Linked DNA regions of Arabidopsis thaliana. The protein of the gene in region 2 purifies or fractionates together with the protein of the main gene of each other region. This does not show direct contact. Each region holds a gene or a part of one and is shown on either strand. Other genes may lie near its edges.

Region 1 (4,634 bases), on a different chromosome or scaffold from region 2:
AAGATCTCGAACATGAGTTTCCACTGTGGATCCCATTGCCTTTGCGATGTTACCAACACAAGCCACAGCTTCAAGCAAAGGTCTGCCTTTACGTGGAGCAATCTACAGGGACAACATAGTCGAACAAAGCCACTTGTCTAGTTCAGTTTTCAAAACTAAAACCCAATATAATACTTTGACACAAAAGTAGTAAAACGTAATTACAAAATAAATAAATAAATAAATAAAATTTGACCCACCGCATCCCGCAGATGAGACATAATTGTCGGCAAATAATGGATAAGCTCACCATCCAAAGCACCAGCCATTTCCCCAAGGGCGATGAACCCACTGGCTCTTTCAGCCGGTATTCTTAACACAGTAAGAATATGATTCATGCATATCTGCAAGAAAGTAATTCGTGTCACGTTTCCAGAAATTTTTTGGTTTTAAGAATCTCTCAGTCACTTACCGTTAAATAGTTTGTCACAAACCGGTCACGGAGAAAGTGAGCAATGCGAGGCAGTAACGAGGTGATGCTAAGGCGAACAAGGCGATCACGATGTTCAAGGTATCTGAGGACAATTTCGGCAACTTCTCTATACCTAGACATCATGAACTCACCTGTATTCCTGCAAACGAACTCTAGCATTAAGCTGTAAACTCTAACACCCAATATGCCATGAAATCAATCTGCTTATAACAGAAAACAACGTAATTTTCGTCGTCAAGAGTCTTTTGTTCAGGTATACACTGAGAGTGGAGGAATATACATGAATTGCCTACTTTTTTAATGATGTAAACTACAATACGAAGACAAACTAACAAAACAACCCGAGCATCATGGGGACAAACAAGTTGTTCTACGGAAATATTCCAGAATCAAACTTGAGTGTCTGACTAAAAGAAAGGGATGCTTTCAAAATAGATAACCACTTCTGCATTTACCTCAACAGCTCCCCCACGGCAAGTAAAGAACCATGAATACTGTGAACCGGAGCATTTCTGCCCAACCCATCCTGTGTAGCTTCAAACATTCGATAGTACCTGTAAAAGCCAAATTGAGAGAAGATCAGTTAATAAAGATGGAAACCCCTATTGATAATTTGAAACATTGCATTGGCAATGATATATATAAATGCAGTAGAAAGTCTGCAAAACGTATCACCATGGGAAGAATATATATTCGAATATCATCCATTTTGGGGGGGGGGGGGGGACCACAGCATAAAAAGCTAATATAAGTTGCATTTACACAATAAAATATACAAAGTAGTACTTAAATGAGGGTGATTGCAAATGAAAGTATTGCAACAACACAAAGAAAAGCCTTGCATCAAAAATATCATACCAAATACATAACCTAAGGAAAACATTTCAGACATTATCATTTTCAAGGATAAGAGAATACTTACCACTGCACTCGCCATCGAGTCTCCCTTTTCTCAATAACACGAAGGCATGCACGCAAAGCTTCAACAGCTCGTTCTCGCACTTGCAACTGGGGGTCCCTAAGTGCAACCCAGATAGCATCCACAAATTCAGGGACATGAACGTTAAAGACAGTAGAAGCATTTTCGGCCATCTCCTGCAATGTTGCAAGAAAACATCCATATCCGTATTAACTTAGGATTGGAAAGTTATCATCACTATCATTTTTCAAACATCTATAATCCAATTTATTAGTTCAGAAGTTTCTTTCTGAGTAACTAAAAGAAAAAATGATCTGCTTATCTAAAGGATCGGGCAGCTGAAATCAGGATACCTTTAATATTAAAACGGCGGCGAAACGACGATATTCCACCCTGTCTACGCGAAGCCAATCAAAAGCTGTTTTCATCTGTGAAAACGAGATCAAGAATTGAGCAACTATGAGCCGAGACAGTGATAGGAAGGGGAGGGAAACAAACAATCTTACCTGAAACTCCACTTCATCAGAAGTCATTGCTCCACCTGCCCGAGCAAGGTGCCCCAAAACTCTACTAGCAAGCACCAAGATTTCAGGATCACGCTTCAACTCGAACACAGTCCTCATGTAACCCGCAAATCTAGAAACCTTAGTAGCATTCTCACCAAATCCAATCTCCGTCAACTCATCAATGGCTCTGAGTGCACCCATGTTTTCCGCCACATCAGTGCTCTCAATTAAATTAGCAATCCTGTCATATAATTGCTCCATGAACCTAGAGGAAGCTTCACCACTAAGATCACGAACTGCTTCCTCTACGTGTTTCCTAAACGCTAAAGGAGCTCCCTCCTAATACAACAACCAAAAATCATAAACAAAGTCGCATACTTGATGGAAACCAACAACAATAGATCAAAACCCACAAATTGCCAGACCTATAAGAACTAAAACTTCGAATTTTCCATTAACCAGAACAGAGAGATTCCGTCAGATAAGCAATAAAAGCAAAAGGGTTATATGGGTTTCTACTAAAGCATAAAAAGGGAGAATACTTTACAATGTTCTTCATTACCTTAGGATTACCACGGCTGCAAAGGTCAGCGATGACACGATTCAAAGTGTCAAAGCTTCCGCCACCAGAAGCGGTGGCTGAGGGACCACAAAAGCGGTGCGATTGCGAAGGGGAAGCCATGGATGCAGGCCGTCCAGCCACAAAAGATTGCGACGAGGTAGACATCGCTGCAGGGCCAGTCCAGCCACAAAAATCTTCCAAAAACCCTAAATCTGACCCCTTTTTGGTTCAACAACACTTGGGCAGAGAGAGAGTATGTACAGAGGAAGATAGAAGAATCTTCAACACATGATGCGTCGAGAACCGAAGATCGCAGAAGAAATCAAGATTTTTTCTCTTATTTTTTTACAAATTCAATTCGCTGAGTGTCTTTTTAGCTTTCTTAGGTTTTGCTTTGTTCTTTCAGAGACCAATTATCTTTGGTAAATAAATTGGAAAACCCGAAAGGTTTTTACTAGGAAAATATGACTTTTTCCTTGGAAAATTGTAAAACTTATGTTTGTCTATCAAAAACTTATAAATACAATATTTTCATTTTTTTTTGTCACTGATTAATTACTTAAAACCCTGAAAGGGTCTTTGTTTGGGCTATGTAATGTTTAGAATGTTTAATATACACTTGTCAAAGAAAAAAAATTACTTGTGAAAAAAAAAATAGTCAAAAACTCATATTTGTTCACTGGACAATAGAATAACTTTTTTTGTCAAGGAATAACTTTGTAGTTTCTTGAATAAGTTTTCTTTTATTGTCATTTCACTTTATTATTATTATTTCCAATTATGCTTTTAAGCAGATAAGGAGTTTTTAAAATGATCATTAAATTGTAGGAAAATAATAAACTATAGTTTTGTTGTAATTAGTAGTCATTACGAACAAAAATAATGGGGAAAATGAAAAAATTCAATTGAATGCATATGGTTAAGTTTGTCAACAAATTAAATAAATAAGAGGAATAATATCTATACAAAAAAATATCGAATATTAGTCAAATTTTGAATAAAAAATGTCAAATAATAGTAGAATTGTAAAATAGTTGTATGGTAATCGATATATCATATATTGAAAAATTGATGAAATGTGAATCATATCATTCAGTTAATTTGAATTGTTTTTCTTTTTTTTGGTATGGAGTGGATTTGAATTGTTAGATGTGATGAAACTTTGTTTTTCTATTCATAAAAATTCTAAATCATAGAAATCATTATTTATTCTCCAATGGTAAATTTTTGTTTTGCTTGTATGTTAAGTAGTATTCATATTCATATGTATAGGAAAAACTAAAGAAATGGCTCCTCCAAAATATAGTTCGTGTTTCTCCGTTGTTACAACGAAAATAATCACAATGATTGTGTATGACAAAATAAGCATTACATTCGAAAATTAAACGAAGCACATCCAACATAAAATTTCAAAAGAGTTGTGGCTTGTGGGAGGCTATAGCATCGCTTGGTTTCATCGTACACATCAAGGATGGTGAATAGACAGGGTCCAAGTGTTAACGTTGCGCAATCCCATAACGTGACAAGAATGTCGGTGAAAATATTGGTGTTCTTTTCTCTCCAAATTAATAAACTACAACTAAGAGTACTATTTAAAAAAGAGTTAAAATGACACAAAATAACTCAATTTTTTATATCATTAACGCATTATACGTATAGAATTTAAATAATAACATATACATTTCCATATAGGATAAATAACCTCATCAAAAAAAAAGAAGAATTTTATTATTAGTTTAGACTTTTTTGTCAATATTAATTTATTAGCTTCTTAAGTTTTATATTATTAGCAAAGGATAATGATGCCAACTATATACATGCGTGCTCCAACTTTTGGGACCAATTCATCTAACCTAAGTGATAAACAGATAGATAAATTATCCACTTCTAACTATTTTCCATCAGCTTATTTCAAAATTTAAAAGCTAAATCATTTCAAATCAAAAAGGTCTTTGGCTTTTTTTTATCCACTGTTCCATTATTTCTCTCTTCCATTAAAAAAACTGCATTTTACAAGATCTTTCAGTTTTTAGAAGTAATCAAGTATCAGTGCCAAAAAAAGCTACATTAAAATCTTACAAATTACAGTATACGACGTATTCCTATTTTCAATCGTTATCTAAGTAGAAATATATTTAATAAAACGTGTGAAATGTCAATAAAACAACAACAAAA
Region 2 (4,846 bases):
CCAACAAGTCCTGTCTGAATAATCTCTGGAAAAGTTCTGCAGGGTAAAACTATCATTCATGAGGACACAGAAAAGAAGTCAACTTGAAGAAGATTTACCCTTGATAAATTATGCAGAAAGTTTGGAGAAGTACCATGAGGAAGCACATTCCAAGCAATTGTATCCGTCACTGCTGTGAAAATCCAGTTCAACTCCCCTAACAATGTCTTACGATCGTTTTGCCGGCCTGGAATCCTGTCGATAAGTGATTCATCGATAATTTCTTTCAGAAGCGAACGCCTGCAGAACCTGCAATGGAAATCCTCTTGTGAAAAAGCTGCAAGCTAAACTGAACTACATAAAATGGTGATCTGTTTACTGGAAAAAGGTTAAAAAGAAGCCCAGAATTGAAACCGCACAGACTCAGTAGCAATTAGTTATAGAATAAATATCACAGAAGGAGAAGGCTATCAATCAGGATGATATCGTGAATCTTTTGGTATCATCAAAAATACTTAGCCAGGACAGAAAGAATTATTGCAAACCATACATCAGCAAACTTCCATATGCAAAGTGACTTGGCAGCTAAAGGTATTATCAGTCCTGGTTATCTCACAACTCTTATGATATGCTGTTTTACCACCCCACAAAACTAAAACATACGCACAAGGTCTTCTAAACAAAACTCTATGATCCATCTTTGGTCCCATCCAAAATGCTGCCGAAAAGTTTTGATCTTACCTCATGATGAAGCGAGAACATACTAGCTAAGATTTTATAAACTTAGCTAGACGGAACTTAAACTACATTTTGTAGGAAGAAAACATGACATCTGAGTACGCAAAAAAAGTCAGAGATGGAATGATGATTTACCATTTCAACGCCATTTTAATGGGCGTTGTCAGGCAAGACGTAAAAACATCAGCTGGAAACTCAACGCTCTGAGGAAGTGTCTCATGTACATCACAAGCAGCAAGTAGAATGCAGTCCCTTGAGGATCCAGAGGAACCAGAAGAACCCCAATCATGAAGCTGGCGTAAAGAGTATATGAATTTTATCAACTTATGGAACGAAAATTACAGACTCGAGTCCTAAACTCGACAGGAGATGTGTTCTATAAGTGAAGTGGTTGTTTCCTTTACCTCAGCAAAGGCATTCAGAATCATCCTAGCAGCAGAGCAGTCGAAAACATAGATGGAGGGTGTCTTCAACCAGGAATCAAGTTCACTGATTGGCAAGGGAATGTACTGTGTATAACTCTGCTCAAACAGAGAATCAATCAGCTCGTGGTAACAGACGAGAAGGAACAAGAACATGGTAGAGAAAAGAAAACGCTAGTAAAAAACAGACCTTGTTAAATACCCAAATTTCACCATTAGCTGTAGGTTTTGGCACACCATGCCCATTATAATGGAATAGAACTCTCTCGGTCTTTGCATATTTCCGACAAGTCAAGCACAGCTTCCTCACCTCATCTACTGTCGGATCAAGCTGAACCTTATAGCGGGCCTGAGAAATCATAAAATAAATAAGAAAAGCGTAACTTAACAAAACAATAATGATAGGGTGCAGGGAAAAAAATTGTCACCCTGGGTTGCCATCTCTCATACTGAGTGCTCAAATTTTTTCCAATTGTCTCGAGAGCTTTAGGCGGTGCCATAGAAAATGGATCTGCCATCAGAAAGAAAAAAAATAGAGATAAAATTGACTGTGGCGACAAAAAAAAGGGATAAACACAGAAAAGAAAGAGTGTAATAGGATTGAGTAGGCCAAAGTTTCAACCTATCCATGCCTCGATTCTAGCACAAGGAGATATCTTTATAACATCCGGCGGATCAACAGTAATGTTTAAACACAGAACTAAAGCTACACATCCTGTTTTCATCTGCAAAGAAGAAGAAGAAAAGTTAACAAAGAATATGAGACTTGCAAGAACTCCCCTAGCTATCAGATCCAATGAACACCTGATTTAGCTTCCGACGAGAAATAGAATTATTTCTGAAGAGACATTGAGATTGAAACGAAACGGAAACATGTATCTTTAAGGTTCAGCTCCACAATAAAAACGTTAACACAAGTACACAACCCTCCTCGGTTAACATTACCTAACATAGTAGCGAACAATAGCAGATTTTATAATGAATTCTAGAAAATGTAGTTGTTCTACCCGCCTCTTACATCGTCAGTTGCACTAAACAAGCTAGTCTAACATACTTGCAGCTACCAACAATGTTCGATTGAAAACTTACTCGTTCTTTAAGCCGCCATTTGGGGACCAATACGATCTCAGAAGTCCCCAAGGGAGCAGAAGCCTCGGATGCGTCGTGTCTAAGCTCGCAGAGCACAATAGTCTGAGGCAAGTAAGCCATGCTGGTGGCGGTGGCGGCTCCCTCCGTTGTACCATTCCCGTAGCTACTACTGCTCTTAGCCTCAGAATCCTTCCTCCGGGAATCACCGTCATCGTGACTAGAGACACAGTCTTCGTCGTAACGGTGATTGGAGACCAAAGAAACAGAAGATTGCGAGAACCGAGACACCATTAAGTCTCCTAATGCCATCCAAATCGGAGAACACACCCCCGAATTAACACACCCCCAGAAATCACGCAAATCAAATCCTCAGCCCTAGCTTTTTTGTTTGGATTGTGCGAGATACAGAAAATAAAATAGAAAGGAAGACGGAGAAATCCAGATCAATCAACAAAGCCGCTGCACCAGCGGCGCAGGAGCAGAGAATCCAGCTCGAAAAACCCTCGACAGAGAAGCGGAAGCGGAAACCCTAAGAATCAGGAGAAGCGGAGGATGAAGAACGATGATGATTGGCTACGACGGCGATTGATGTGGAAGCGGCGGCGAATTAACAGTGGTGGTGGTGGTGGCGGCAGAAGAGAAAAAAAAAAGGCAGAGGAGAAAGTGAGGATGCGAAAATTGGGATTTTGTCAAAGAGAGAGACAAAGGGAAAGTCTTCAATGCATTTGCGTTTTCTTTCCACTTCTCTTTCATTCTTTTTCTCCTTTCCGTTTTTAGTTTTACCCTCTTCAGATCAAAAATCCACTCTAATTAATTACTAACTTTAATGCAATGTTATTAAATACTAATATTATAAGATTGAGAGGTATACTAAATATCTATAATTTTAAAATTAATTTATGTTTAAAATGTGGAAATTGAAATTTTGTATGCATCATTGAGAAACAAATTCAAAGAACACCATCAATGGATCGACTAATTAACTGAGAAGTTAATCGCAAATTCAATCTGATTCTTTGATTAAAATGCAACTTAAAACTCACTTTTATTCTAATCACGGTCTAAATCTAAATTTAAAAAATCAGTCTAGTTTAATTACGAAAACAAAAATTCAAGCTACTAAACTAGTAACAGAGAAATGATATTAAATTTAAAAACGATATTAGATTTTTTAAAACTATATTAATTTTTTTTTAAACGAGACAATTGTATTTTCGTAACCATAAATTACTTAGCTGACACTTTGTTACGTGAGTTACCATAAATTCTTCGAATCACCTCTAGGATTCCGTACAACGGGGTACATGAAGGGATCATCATTGCACACGCTTCATAAGTATATTTATGTTTTAATCAGTTTTGTGTTATAACGTTTAAATTAGTGTAATCTAAACACCAACGGTTTTTCTACTCTTACATAGCAATGTCTGGTCTTCTAAACCGAATTCATCTAGGGTTTATTGTAGTTGGTAAAAAAATGAAAACCGAAAAACTAAAAATTTGGTGTAGGGAAAAAATATTGGGTTCAAATTCCATGTTAATCAAAACTTCAGGTTCCGTTTTGCAATTATTCCATTATATTATCAATTTTGGACACAAACATCAAGCTGACACTTTGTTTGTCTGAATAACATTATCAAAGGCCATATATATCTAAAAGTCAGCAGAAAAATATCACAACTCCCTCTCTCTCACTTGGGAATCTCGCATCGAGAAAACAAGAAGATTCGATGATAAGAAAGACACTATGCATACTTGAAGAACTTATATTCGTGCTGACGAGTCTCGTTTCCGCGATCAGGACAGCTCTCCGGACATCGTTTTCCTACTCCGCCGCGGCGCCGCCATTTCTACCACTTCCTCGTCTTTGATGACCAACTGTTTTGCCCCACAGGTGTATCATTCAAGTTTTACTCTAAACTCGAAACTTCGGATCAATATATGTATTTGTGGAATATCATTAGCAGCGAGTTTTTTATTTATTTGTAGATTCTATCAAGTGTATACAGTACTGTACATTTAGTTACATATACTTGCATCTGTGATATATTTCGGTAAACACCAATTGTAATTCTACTTTATGATGTATTGTGTTATTTATATACACATACAAGGGTGAGTGATCATTAGAGAACGGATAAAGATAGTAAATCACATCTTGGACATGGCGTGATCCATCACATCCACGAGGAAATCTACAAAATACAAGATTTGAAACAACATAAATCATGAATAAAAAAATGAAACAAAAAGAAACCAATTTGAAGATATATATGTTAAACTAAGGAGCTAACCAGCGTCGGAGAGGGTGAAGCAGAGAGGAGGAGTGATTCTGAAGACATTCCCATAGAATCCACCTTTCCCCACCAACACTCCCATTTCTTGATACCAAAAGATTTGTATTAAACACTATCTTAAATGCATAAGTATCAACTTTATATGATGAGAGTGATCAATTTCACTTGGTTTAGGATTGAACACAACTAACCTTTCATTTGATCCATTAAATGAAGGGTCTCTGCTTTTGCAGGAGTTTTTAAGTCGCGGTCTTTGACAAACTCAACTCCTAGCATCAATCCTCTCCCTCTCACGTCTCCAATGACTAAACAAATTAGAGA

What was found.
Region 1: the proteins of RAPTOR1 (region 2) and TOR purify together in Arabidopsis thaliana (affinity purification with western blotting; 2 studies listed by BioGRID, with this or other methods). This does not show direct contact.

The regions. Positions count from the first base shown.
Region 1 is NC_003070.9:18,536,996-18,541,629, forward strand, and holds the start of TOR (target of rapamycin), read right to left. Parts: upstream 3,001-4,634; 5' UTR 2,625-3,000; coding exon 2,460-2,624; intron 2,237-2,459; coding exon 1,898-2,236; intron 1,820-1,897; coding exon 1,745-1,819; intron 1,568-1,744; coding exon 1,395-1,567; intron 1,027-1,394; coding exon 928-1,026; intron 612-927; coding exon 452-611; intron 384-451; coding exon 240-383; intron 103-239; coding exon 1-102. UniProt on the Arabidopsis thaliana protein: Essential cell growth regulator that controls development from early embryo to seed production. Controls plant growth in environmental stress conditions. Acts through the phosphorylation of downstream effectors that are recruited by the binding partner RAPTOR.
Region 2 is NC_003074.8:2,692,375-2,697,220, forward strand, and holds the start of RAPTOR1 (Regulatory-associated protein of TOR 1), read right to left. Parts: upstream 3,027-4,846; 5' UTR 2,538-3,026; coding exon 2,229-2,537; intron 1,865-2,228; coding exon 1,762-1,864; intron 1,651-1,761; coding exon 1,568-1,650; intron 1,489-1,567; coding exon 1,330-1,488; intron 1,239-1,329; coding exon 1,122-1,238; intron 1,011-1,121; coding exon 853-1,010; intron 289-852; coding exon 134-288; intron 37-133; coding exon 1-36. Other genes in the region: PYD4 (PYRIMIDINE 4), read right to left, coding at 4,380-4,423, 4,523-4,609, 4,717-4,830. UniProt on the Arabidopsis thaliana protein: Probable component of the plant TOR kinase pathway that recruits substrates for TOR. Modulates plant cell growth and regulates the activity of ATPK1 kinase in response to osmotic stress.